2 linked regions of the Rattus norvegicus genome follow. The protein of the gene in region 2 interacts with the protein of the main gene of each other region in a biochemical or structural test. Links are inferred from orthologs where the notes say so. Each region holds a gene or a part of one and is shown on either strand. Other genes may lie near its edges.

Region 1 (6,077 bases), on a different chromosome or scaffold from region 2:
GTATTATCATTCATCATTTTCTCCCTGTCCCTCCCCTTCCTCTTTCTTTCCTTATTCAGTTCCTACTTTCTTTTTCTGGAAAGATGGGGTGAACCTGTGACAAGCCTTTGTTGACAGGGCTGCCGTTCATTCAGCCTTCCTTCCACAGGGATCTAAAGACCAGCGCTGTTCTCAAATGTCCCTGAGCTTGCACACAGGCATTGGGAGAAAGGATGGGGAGTCCTGCCATTGCCTGGAAGAAGCTGTCTGTCCATCTTAGAGTGGAGCCTGAGCCCAAACCGTATACTTTCCATTCTGGTTACGTTACGGTTCAGTCGTGAAATGGGAGGCTTGTTTAGACATATTGAACAAACAGATTTGGGGAATGTACAATTAATCTCAGGATGGAATTTTACTATACTCTCCTGGGGAACTGATTTTAATGAAGAAAAGCAAAACAAAACAAACAGCAAAAAGACCTCTATCCATTCGGGTGTTATAACTCTGTTAGGAAGTTAAATGGAAGTTAGGAGGTTTGCCTTTCCTGCCCACCCAGAACTTCTGCTGAAAAGGATCTAGGTACTTCTGCGAGAGAGATAATAATTACTTCAGGAGCCCTTTTATACATCTTTGCTTAAGCACCAACTTTCCCCCCCATCCTAAGCAGCCACTGGAGAGCTGGGAGCCCACTGTGGTTTTCGATGGGGACACAAACATAAACTGTGGAAGCCACTCACCGTATTTCAAGTGGGTGACATCGTCCCGTGGGTCATTCCTTCCTTCCGGTCTGTGGTCTGTTTTTCTGTGAGAAGTTGTTCCTGAGTTACCTGGCTCCAACACTCTCTTTGGCTCTCCTTGGCAGAAGATACCACAATCCCTTCTTCCATCCAGTGCAGCAGATGGGCTCTTGGGGGTGCCTAAGTTGTCTGGAATACCTTGAATCCGGCTGTGAAAATTTAGGGCAGATCTGGGGCTCTCTGTTGGTGACCACCTTATTTGGTTTAGAGGCATTTTGCTCTGCGATTGAGTCATGAAGAGACATTAAAAGGCTGCCAGTCTGTGCTTTGAAGCAGACACTCAGTCTCTTCTGTCATCACGGACCCCTTACAGACAGACACACGGCACATAACCTCGGTTGCGCTGCACTGCTGCTTTATTGCACATGGACCAATTCCCCACATGGTACTTAGTCGCACCAGAGTATAAATACTTGGTCACACACACAAGAAGAGATAGAATATACACACGAATGCTAAATTTTACCAGCAGATTCACGTGGGCACTTGGACATTAAAAAATTATAATAAAAATACGTAAGATAATAATATTTATAATATGGATACAGTTACAGTACCATGATAAGAGTATAAAAAGTGATTTCCCAATAAATCATCAACTCAATAACATAATAGACAAGAGAAACTGAGTTTGAATTTTATTTTTTAGCATTTTAAAGATCTGCCCACCTCCCCGTCCCATTAAAAATATTTAATTTTTTGTGCAAGTTAACAACTTCTATGGATTTTACAATGTCTAACACTGTGCAAAATGGCCTTTCAACCACTGCCTTTTTTTTTTTTGTCATCTTTGTTTTTAGCCACATGTGCAATAATCCCAACTGTTTCCTTTTGTTCTGTCCTATCTTTAGTTGACAGAATCACATGTCACAGAGAGAGACTCAGCGCCTGGTCCTTCCAACTAATATTGATACATAAATAAGCTGTTTAATATAAACAAGTCTTTCTATCTTGCTGTGCAATATGCACAGAGTGAGGTAGAGGACCCACAGCAGGACCACCGAGGCGCGCAGGGGACAGGGTTTGCCCTCCAGGAGAAAGCAAGGTGAACCGTGCTCCACAAATAGTTTCTCGAAACCAGATTGGTCTGTTTCTCAGCCACCTTTCCCCCCTTTGCTTTAAGGAGACACCAATACTCCGGAATTAATATGCAATTTCTTTAGAAAGCAAAAGGAAACACTTCCTGGCTAATTATCACCGCTCCTGCCCCCACCCCAAACCAGAGCTGAACACTTAGGTTCCTAGGTGTGAAGTCAGAAGGCCAGGTGATAGACTCCACCCTCCCCCTTCCCCTCCCCTCCTAGTTTCCACTCGGGTCCTTGCAGAAAGTGTCAAAACCCACGGGGGGGGGGTGCCTAAAGGTGCATTAAACACACGAAAGGCCGAACCTCAGAGAGAAAGGAACTCAAGACAAGCCAGTAAGCCACACTAAGCCACACTCTCCCAACTACTCCCAAACTTTCCTTTTTGCGCAACGCTCGGTCCCGGGCTTTTCTGTACGTCTCGGATGATTCAAAAGATCTGTGGGCTTCGCATTCACCTGCTTTCGGTCTTGAGTAAACAGAAACCTCCTCTCTCCCCTGGGGAGCGGCTCAGGGGCGCCCAGGCGGGCTCTCTTCCTCTAGGGATGCAGAGCCCGTGTCCAGCCCGGGACTATGGGGAGCGGCGTCCGTGCGCCCGGAGAGCCTGGCCCTCTACACCTTGGACTCGGAGGAGAAGCCCTGGCGTCCCGGCTCGTCCAGGCTCGAATCGCTGTCCACAGTGGTCGTCCCGCCGTTGCAGCCGGCCCAGGGCTCCAACAGGCGCGCGGGTGGGGTGGCCCCGGCGTCATCGTCGTCGTCGTCCGAAGGAGCCCCGGGGGACGGCGGCGGCCCAGCTCTCGCCAGGCAGCCCGAGGCGCGCGGCCGGTCCCCGTGGGCTGCGCGGCGTCTGCAGGCGGCCCGGCGCGCGCAGCAAAGCAGGCGCTGGAAAGCCTTGCGGAAGTCGGGGCTGCGGCAGTAGATGATGGGGTTGAAGGCCGAGTTGGCGTAGCCCAGCCAGTTGAAGAAGACGAAGAGGCGATCCGGCACCAGGTCGCGGTGGAAAGCTTTCACCACGTTGGCCAGGAAGAAGGGCAGCCAGCAGAGCGTGAACACACCCATGATGATGCCCAGTGTCTTGAGCGCCTTCTGCTCTCGCAGAGCCACGAGGCGCGACGGCCGCCGCTTGCTGGAGCGCCCGTTGGCCAGCGAGTCTGCGGGGCGCGGTGGCCCTGGTGATGGCGAGGGCGCGGGCGAGGGCGGCCGGGGCGGGCCGCTGAGGAAGCGGCGCTCGCAGCTGTCGATCTTCTTCACCTGTTTCTGGGCCTCGCGGAACACCCGGAGGTACACGAAGGCCATGATGCACAGGGGCACGTAGAAGGAGACGACGGACGAGGCGATGGCGTAGGCCCGGTTGGTGACGAAATCGCAGCACTTGGGGTCGTTGTAGCAGCGGCGCGCTTCGTCGCTCTCGGCCCGCCACCAGTGCATGAGGATGGGCAGGAAGGACACCAGCGCGGAGATGGCCCACACTGTGCACACGAGGGCCCGCGCTCGCGCGCGCGTCAGCAGGCTCTGGTAGCGAAAGGGCGACGTGATGGCGAGGTAGCGGTCCAGGGCGATGACACACAGGGTCTCGATGCTGGCCGTCACACATAGCACGTCTACCGAAGTCCAGAGCTCACAGAAGAAGGAGCCGTACTCCCAGCGGCCCCACACCACAATGGTGGCCCCGAAAGGCACCACCAGCAGTCCCATGACCAGATCGGCGCTGGCCAGGGACATGATGAAGAGGTTGGTGAGCGTCTGCAGCCGCGGGGTCTTGGCGATGGCCACGATCACCAACACGTTGCCCACTACGATGAGCAGCACGATGAGCGCCAGGAGTAGGCCCATACCCGCGGTCCACTGCTGCGACAGCGGCGCTGAGCCCTCGCTGGCTGGAGGCAGCAGCGAGGCGGGAGGCGACGCGAGCACCAGCAGTCGTGCCGCGGTGGCCGCGCCGTCGGGCAGCGGCGCGGCCGACGACAGGTTGCAGGGTTCGGAGGCGCCCAGGGCGAGCGCCCCCGCGCCCATGCCGAGCTTCGGAGGCCGGGGGCGGGGGGTGTGGCGGGACTGGGCCGCGCCTGGGAAGCACCCCAGGAGCCGGGGCTGCGGGGCCCGCGCGGGGAGGTCGCGGCCAGGTCAGGGCAGCCGCGGCTTGGGGCCGGAGGCATGGACGCCGGGCGCCTTCTCCTCCGTAGCCAAGCGCTGTCGCCGCCGCCGCCGCCGCCGCTGCTGCTGGAGCCGCTGTCGCTGCTGGAAGAGCCGCCGGGACCTCAGCATGTTTCTGAGCGCGCGGGGCCGGCGGCTCCAACACCCAGCACCTCCCCCCCACCTCGCTCCCTACCCCCCAGCCAGCCCCCGGGGCCGCGCGTCAGGCTCCCGCAGCCAATCGTCGCCAAGGCACGCCCCCGAACAATGGTGTCCCCACCCCCAACACCCAGCACCCCCTCCTACCGCGATTGAAAGGCTCCAAAGATTGCGGGTGGACTACGCAGCCGGCACCCACGGGCTGCAGCGAGCGCGCCCTTTCCTGCTCAGGCTTCTTCCAGAGTCTGGTCTGCTGCGCCCTCTGCGGTGCCCCGCCGCCTCCTGTGCCCACCCCCACCGCCCAAGTGGTGTCCGCTTGCCCTAGCACCCAGCTCTCATTTTGCCGCTCCCGCAAGAGCGCCCGTTTCCCTTCGGCGCCCCGTAGCGCCCTCGCCTTTCTACCTCTAGTGCATGGTTCCTGGTAGCTAGAAGGGAAACTTGCTGGCGTTCCGGAGATGCCTTGGACAGCCTATCTGCTGGGATTGGGGAATTTAGCTGTGAGACTGGTTCTGCCATCAGGCAGCCTGGCTCTTCCCTGATCGCGAGGGGACCCGGCCAGAATGACAGCTTGGGGAATAGGAAGTGGGTGTTAGTTATTAGAGGAAACTTTGCAGCCAGGCGGATTGCTGGAGCAGAGTGCGCATCTGTCAGAAAGGCTCTCTGGGCGCTGTTCTTGCGCAGAGCTGTGCTCTCTCTCCCTCAAGTGCAGTGGATGGGGAAAGGAAGGGAAGGTTTGTGGCTGTAACTGCCAACGCCAAGGACCAGTTGGACACACACAGTTCCCAATCCCAGCTAAGGAAAAGGATGCGATGAGTTCTGAGTATAAAGGAGAAGTTTAGGGCAACATTAAGTCCGGAGTAAATGACACCGCCCCACCCCCAACCCCCACCCCGCCTAGAAAGAACTCAGAGAATGACGCTTCAGACTTTTTGACTCCAGTACCAACACCTTAACACCCGCGTTTGTACTCTGGTACCCATGGGATTTTATAATCTGAGCTGAGTCAACACAAGGTACTATCCCTTTTTGGTTGACGTCATGAACTGGGATTTCAGACTTCTTGGTAGGGTGGCTAGATTCTCAAAATTGCGGGATCAGCTTTGGGAAGAGCTTTGGGAAGCAAGAAAATATATAAATACGCGAGGCGATTAAATCGGAAAGCATTTAAAGTCACGCCGCATTTCCCCCTTCACATTGTCGAGTGAATCTGAAACTAGAGTGTTTGACTTCACTCCTGATGGAAGCTGAGGATGAACCTCAGGCTGTGGTCCTCTGATCTGCCCCCTGGGAATGCCTCCACCTCGGGCCATAAGAAGGAAATCTGCAATTAAGTTCTTGAGAAGCAAACAGTTCCCAATTGTCTCTGAAGGGAAGGGTGCACGGTCGTGTTATATAATGTTATGTAATGCTCTGGAGTCTCTCTTGCTTTGGAATAAAAAGATTAGCATCTGGGAGGAGCATCAACATGTGGCCAAGCTGGTACTCTCTCACCTTGCCAAAAGACCAGCCTGGCAACTGCCCACCTGCAGCCTAACTCTTGGTAAAGTCAAATCTGTGGATGTGATTTAGACTCAGGTTTGACCACCTGGGAAGTGATTTACCCCTGCCCTGGAATTAGCAGGCCTCAGTTCTGCCAACTTGGGGAGTTTTGAGAATCTGGGAACGGGAACTCCACAGAGGGCAGAAGCACCCATAGTCACCCCAGCCTTTTCAAACAAGGGTCTTTCCTTCCCCAGGCTTTTAAGGGATGTCTGGAAGGGCTCAAAGGGCAATCTGAAAACAGCCAGTGTTTTGGAATGAGTTGATATTAAGGCTGATCAAGAAAGGGCCTCTGGGTGCTGGGGTGCGGAGAAATGTGGAAAGAGGCTTTCTGCTAAGTAGTGCTATTGGGATGCAGTGTGTCAACCTCGTGTCCCCAGGACATGGCATT
Region 2 (6,225 bases):
GTCTGAGAGGCTTCAGGAGCCATAGCCTAAGGAATGTAGGGCAGGACCATGGGAATCTGTGTGACTGCTGCTCTGAACTTCAGCAGCAATGTTAAAAGGAAAAGACAAAGAAAAGAACCGTTAACACTTCAAATTCTACCTCAGGATCACCCAAGCAGTCCTCTTCCCAGGGTCCCATGGAATCATGAGAACACATACAACATTGCCGACTTACAATTAAATCTATGGGTAAGAAAAGATTATTATAAACAAAATGAATGGTTTAGAAAATCAACAGGATATCGCCAATCAGTAGAAATGGTATTTTTCATATAGAGTTTATCCTGTAGGTTAATAGATGATGATATAAAGAGAAATCTGTTGAACTTTGTTGAAAAGTTGAGGGTTTTGTTGTTATTATTGTTGTTTGTTGAATCGATGTAAAGGGATTTAAGTAGCTCAGAAAAACTGTAAACACATGCCTTCTTTAGAGTATGCCTTAAAATATTAGTTTCTCATTTTCTTTAAAAATTAGAATTATTATAAGCTATGATGGCTATAATGCAAAATTAGCCAAAAAGTAAGTAAAATTTGGGTAAATATTTAAATTTATTTAGGGTATATTTTGCTAGTGCAAATAAATTTATTATACAAATTTCCCATTTCTAACAAAATCTCCCCTAGTTTTGCTACATGTAGTTTCTGTGTGATGTTCAATATTTAACTAAACCTTTAAAACCAATCTCATTAATATTTAAAAAACCCACCTCCCAAGCAAACCATGTTTAAGTTCTGTCTATTCTATCTTTTTCTTTTTTTCTTGTTTCTCCCCAGAAATAGAACTGCTAAGCCAAGAGCTACTAAGCTTCTACCCAATTTTCAAACAAGTACAAACCCAACTGAAACCCAAGAATCATGGGCTCTAATACAGTGTCCTGCAACTTTCAGTTACTCATAATTATAATTAAATAAATCTAACCACTGCTGATAAAAGATCAATTTCATAACAGAATATATAGGAATCACTAGATTTAAATAAATGTACTATTGTGGATTTCCCAAAAGCTATTTTCTTTCTTTCTTTTTTTTTTCCGGAGCTGGGGACTGAACACAGGGCCTTGTGCTTGCTAGGCAAGCGCTCTACCACTGAGCTAAATCCCCAACCTCCCAAAAGCTATTAATTATTTAATCTATATCTGTTTGAATTCAGTAGATGAATGTCTATTATTGGACACCTGGATGCTGACAGACTAAGGGTTAACATATACTGTGAAAAGGTTTTCACCTAAATACCTCAGTCCATAAAAATAAGTTTCCTGAATCTAAACAGTTATATTTTTCCAAACAAAATATAAGCAAGAAGCTAATTGATCAGGACCAACTTTAGCTAAAATCAAGGCTGGATGGAGATGGACCTCTGTGGATCTTTCTGCTTCTTTGCCAAGATCCAGAATAAGGGAAACCTCATCTTACAACATTGCTCACAGCTCTGCTCTGCTAAAGATTCTGCTTCCCCAAGGGAAAGACTTGCCAAATTCGCCCTAGTTTTATCATTTATCACAGAATAGGCAAAAAAAAAATCCCATTTCTTATCTAAGATTCCCTATGTGCACAACTTTTGTGCCTTCACTCTTTCATTGTCTCTCTGGATGTCAATTGCTAAGTGGCTAGTACCAGATATTTTCTTTTAATCATTAATTACATTAATACTAATAAACATTTATCGTTTACGAGTGTTAGAGTTGGGCAAAGTCTATCTCAAGATGTAGACATCAGAGTAAAATGCAGAAATAAAATGGTCAGTGGAAACCACAAGGAAAAAAATCACTGTGGAAGTGTGTTAACTTGGGCTGGTGAGGCTCATCTCAGGAAAAGCTTCTCACCAAGGCTAATTTCCCATCTCTGACCCCCAGAACATTAGAGGAGAACTGATTGGCAAGGGCTGTTTTCTCATTTCCATATCACACAATGGGCATATCCACCCTCCATCCCATCCATCCATTCATCCATCCATAAACCATCAACCCATAAACAAATAAGTATAAACATTAACTTTTGCCGTTGCTTTCCTTTGCAAATACCAGTATTTTTGCCACCAAATAACGGTCGATGGTCAATTGTGGTAGATTTCTTGGCCTCTAACCTTGAACTCTGCATTTGTTATTTGCTATGATCCACTCTGTTAACATAAAATGCATGAGCACAACTTTCTGAATGTGAGTTCAAAGTATGTCACAACTGGAGGTTACTCTAATATCTGACCCATCTTCTTCGGTGTCACACAATACCGCACGTTTGCGTTAGATGATCTAAAATGATAGAGGATGAACACTCCAGAAATTCCACTGAAGATGTTTTCCTCCGTGACAGCTTAGCTTTGGGGAAGTTTATCAACCTTTCTTCTAGGTCGTTTACTTCGAAAGTTTTTGTTTTGTTTTGTTTTGTTTTGTTTTATGCTGGAAAAAAAATCCACAACTGCTCTGTGGTATTTCTTCATAATGGATCGCAGCATGAATAGCAATTCAGAATACAGTGATACTCAGAATTTCAACACTGGCGCAAGACAGAGTAACAATAGACAACAAACTGTCATACCAATAACGCTGGTATGAGTGAGACACATCTGTCCTCTCCACCTGTGCCACCCAGGAAACTGCATTACCACCAGAGGAACACAAAGACATGCTACATTTGTAAAATAAAGTCTCTTCTAATGAAACTTTTATCTCAGGCTTTCCTCCCTCAGGGCCACAATTTTTATTTCAAGCCAAGACATTCATTGTTCAGCAAGATTCCAATCTCTCTAAATTCACTTCCCAGCCCTGAAAGAAGCTCATCAAAGCCAAGTTATACACAGGGAGCCTGAGCTGTGACCAACTTGCCTCTCCATCCACCTCCGTGCTACAAACATGCCCCCGGGTCTGAAGCTAGAGGAGAGCCCAACCACAGAGAAATCCTAGTCAAGAAGAAAATCCCAGTCAATGAAGAGCACTTCGGGGGAACGCTTGATTGCTGCAGTCTGCCTCCCCACCAACACTACAAACTAGCTCTCCCAGCTCCTAGCATTAATCTCTGCCCCTCCTCCTGCCTGCTGGCCAGAGGGATCTCTAGGGTTAGTCAGTCTGCACGTGACTCCCGGTGCCCACATGACAAGACCATGGGCGGGGGAGAAAGGAGTGAAGCAGGGAAAAAGTTACTGAACACTGGTCAGAGCGTCCAAACCAATTTATTCATTTCCTTCCTTGTCAGCCAGTGGCTCAGGGGTCCCTAGGGAACCGCTACTGACCAAGGTGTCTCCAGACTACTTTTGGATATACTGCAAGCATTCTCCACTTGCCCCAATATTCAGAGCTTTTCCCAACCTCCCTAGTGACACCTCTGCACCTCAAGTTGCTCCATCTTCCTTTCTTCCTCACCCCTGGCTTTTTTTCCTTCCCCGAAAGCTCTATGTCCACTGTGGGCATGCCACTGACGCACATTCTATTTGGCCCTGGAGCTCAGAGGAGGTCGGACAAGGCCAAGCATCTTCCAAAGGGGAGGGTCCAACTAGGCAAACTAAGTTGCCTGCTACACTGCCACCTGGCTCAGCCAGCCTACCAGTCCCCCTGCCCCCGTCCCACTATTGCTCCGAACACAGTTAGGATGCTCTCTGGACCCCACCCCGCGGTGGCGCAGCATTCACCCATCCAACCCCCGCGCCCACCCTATTGATGCCCTCCCCACGCCGGGGTCCCACCACCCGGCAGAGCACCGAGCAAGCTGCGCTCACCTTGCTTGACACACTTGAGCCGGAGGGGGTCCTTGCAGTGTTTGATCACGGCCAGAACATCCCTGATGGTGAGCCCCGCCACGGGGGTCTCGTTCACCTCCAGCAGCAGCTCCTCGGACACCAACTTGCTGCCGCTTTCATAGGCCACCTTGCCCGGCTTCACCTCCCCCAGGTAGGGGAACTGTCCGTTTTCGGCGCCCCCCTTCAGTTCAAAGCCCAGCTGGCCCTCCGGGTTTCTGCCAATGACACTCTCGTGGACTTTGCTAGTCCAGTGGCTTTTCTTTTTCAAGCTTTTGGACATGGCAGTAGGGTGAGTCTCCTCAGTTCCTGAGGGTCCGTTGGGAAGGAGGGTCTGGGAGTCAAAATCGGGATGGAGGAGCAAGGGGGCCAAGGGAAGAGGGTGGCAGACTTTGCCTTTCTCTCCCTCTGCTCCGCGCTTTCCCTCTTCTTTGGATGGAGTGTGGCGGAGGAAGGGGGAGGATGAGAGGGACGGCTGGGCAGAGGTAGGAGAGCTTGGGTGAGGTTGTGCTGTCCCTTGAATGACACTCAAGGCTTTGGCCCCGCAGCGGAGGAAGCTGTGGTGGCGTTGGCGGCGTTAGCGGCGGTGGCGGCGGCCGAGCCAGCGCGAGCAGTGGCCGAGCTGGTGAGCGGGTGGCGTGGGGGTGGGGAGGAGGGTAGGGATGCCGGGGGCCACTCCTGCGTGCTGCGAGTGGGGAGCGCGCGCGCGCTCGCCGGCCTCTGTGTTGTTAGCCGATATCCATGGCAGCTGCAGTGGCAGCGGTAGGGAACGCGTGTGTGTGCGCGTGTGCGCGTGTGAGCCTGTGTACTAGTTGTACTGTACTGGCAGGATGTAAGCGGGCGGCAGAGGGGGGTTCGGGTGGGGGGGGGGATAGGGGATGCGAGCGGAGGGAGGAGGCGCGCGCACCGGGTGGAGCGCCAGGGAGGGCTTCGCCGCGGTTTCCCTCCCTCCGCGGCTTGACCCGGTAGTGAAGGCGCGGGGAGAGGCAGGCCCCGGGCCGCCCCGCAGCCTTCGGGAGGAGGCGGGAGCCGGGAAGGAGGGGAGCGGAGGCCCGGCGTGGGCAGGCCGGCGAGAAGAGCCTGGATCCTTGGGTGGACCTGTCTATAGCTTCCCTGCGAGCCGGGCTGCTCGCCTGCAGGACGCCCGGACTTGCTCACACCCCAGCAGGGACAAAGCAGAAATCCGGGGACCCGAGGGCAAGCCCGGTGCCGGGTGGCCCATCTGCAGCGCCTCCAGTCTTCTGGGGCTCCATCCCAACGCGAGGAAGCTGGAGTTCGGAGTCCTAGAGTGGAACTGCAGAGGGCCTGGCAGCCCAGCCGGAGCCGGTGGAGAGAGACTTCACTGTTGGCTCGCTCCACTTTTACAGTCTTTACGTTCCTCGCAAAGTTCTCAGAAGTGGCCCTCTGATAGAGGAAAGTTAGAGGAACGAGTCTGGTCGTCCTGGCTGCAAGAAGAAGGTGAAATAACATCTGCAGAGCAGGGCCATGTGTCCCCTGGGAAGAAACTGAAGAGGATTGAGTGGAGACTGGGTAGAGGGCACCTGCCCGAGTTGAAAACTGGAAAGGGGCGGTGGGGGAGGTGTTAAGGAGATAACTGGTGTAAGAGACTGGACATAGACATGGAGAGTTTAATCTGGACAGGAGTCAAGCCTTAGTTTAATCAGACAAACAACCTCTGCTACAGGAAGGGAAAGAAGGCTGGTGATGGAGCATGAACTCAGCTCGCTGTACCCCCATCTAGCTCCTTCCCCTTCTTAGAGCCAGGTGGAAAACTAAGCAAGGCACAGGAAGCTGAGGGCCGCTGATTTCTCCAGGGAAACCCTGAGTGGTGCTTTTTGAGTTTCCATAGCTTAAATTTCATTTGCTTAAATTTGAAATAATACGTTTCAGACAAAAAAAAAATCACTCACCCACTCGTCTTTGTAAAATCAGAGCACGGGAATTATCAGCGGTTAAGATCCTTATGTCTGGAATAGAGTGTGGGAGGGAAGCAGTGCAGTTCAAAAGGCTTAGCTGACCCAGACAGAAAAGAGGGGGTTTGAATCCTGGCTTTGCTGCGGGGCTTTGCAGGAGTCCCACATTTAGCAGGCGCCTTCACCTTTCTCTCTTCGCTTCTTTTTAAATAGGGTTAACAATACTAACGGGGCCTGATGCAGTGAGGAGAAAATCAGGCAAGGCAGGGAAAGGGCTGCCCTGCACAGGTTAGCTTTGAACAGCAGGTCCTTCCTTTTCCGCTCCACCCCCACCCCTCATAGAGACCACAGCAAATTAGGTCAGAACTGAAGATCTTTACAAAGGGTGGATTTGCTCGACTTCATGCCTTTTCCACTTGAGAAAATGGATGTCCAGAAAGTTAGCTATGACTGGTGAGGGCTACCCAGTCATTGGCCTTCAGGAGTGTTCAGGAACCAGCGAGGTGTCCATTGGAAGCCCAGTCTCATCTGAAGTTAGGCTGAGGA

What was found. The genes of interacting proteins can lie anywhere in the genome.
Region 1: the proteins of Magi2 (region 2) and Adrb1 interact in a test that uses a peptide from one of them, tested with the Homo sapiens proteins (4 studies listed by IntAct, with this or other methods). The link is inferred for Rattus norvegicus from reciprocal best matches to the Homo sapiens genes MAGI2 and ADRB1.

What each region holds. Positions count from the first base shown.
Region 1 is NC_086019.1:265,775,152-265,781,228, reverse strand, and holds Adrb1 (beta-1 adrenergic receptor), read right to left. Parts: upstream 4,127-6,077; 5' UTR 3,872-4,126; coding exon 2,471-3,871; 3' UTR 1,115-2,470; downstream 1-1,114. UniProt on the Homo sapiens protein: Beta-adrenergic receptors mediate the catecholamine-induced activation of adenylate cyclase through the action of G proteins. This receptor binds epinephrine and norepinephrine with approximately equal affinity.
Region 2 is NC_086022.1:16,757,952-16,764,176, forward strand, and holds the start of Magi2 (membrane-associated guanylate kinase, WW and PDZ domain-containing protein 2), read right to left. Parts: upstream 4,185-6,225; 5' UTR 4,050-4,184; coding exon 3,749-4,049; intron 1-3,748. Other genes in the region: uncharacterized protein 4921504A21Rikl, read left to right, coding at 4,645-5,224. UniProt on the Homo sapiens protein: Seems to act as a scaffold molecule at synaptic junctions by assembling neurotransmitter receptors and cell adhesion proteins. Plays a role in nerve growth factor (NGF)-induced recruitment of RAPGEF2 to late endosomes and neurite outgrowth.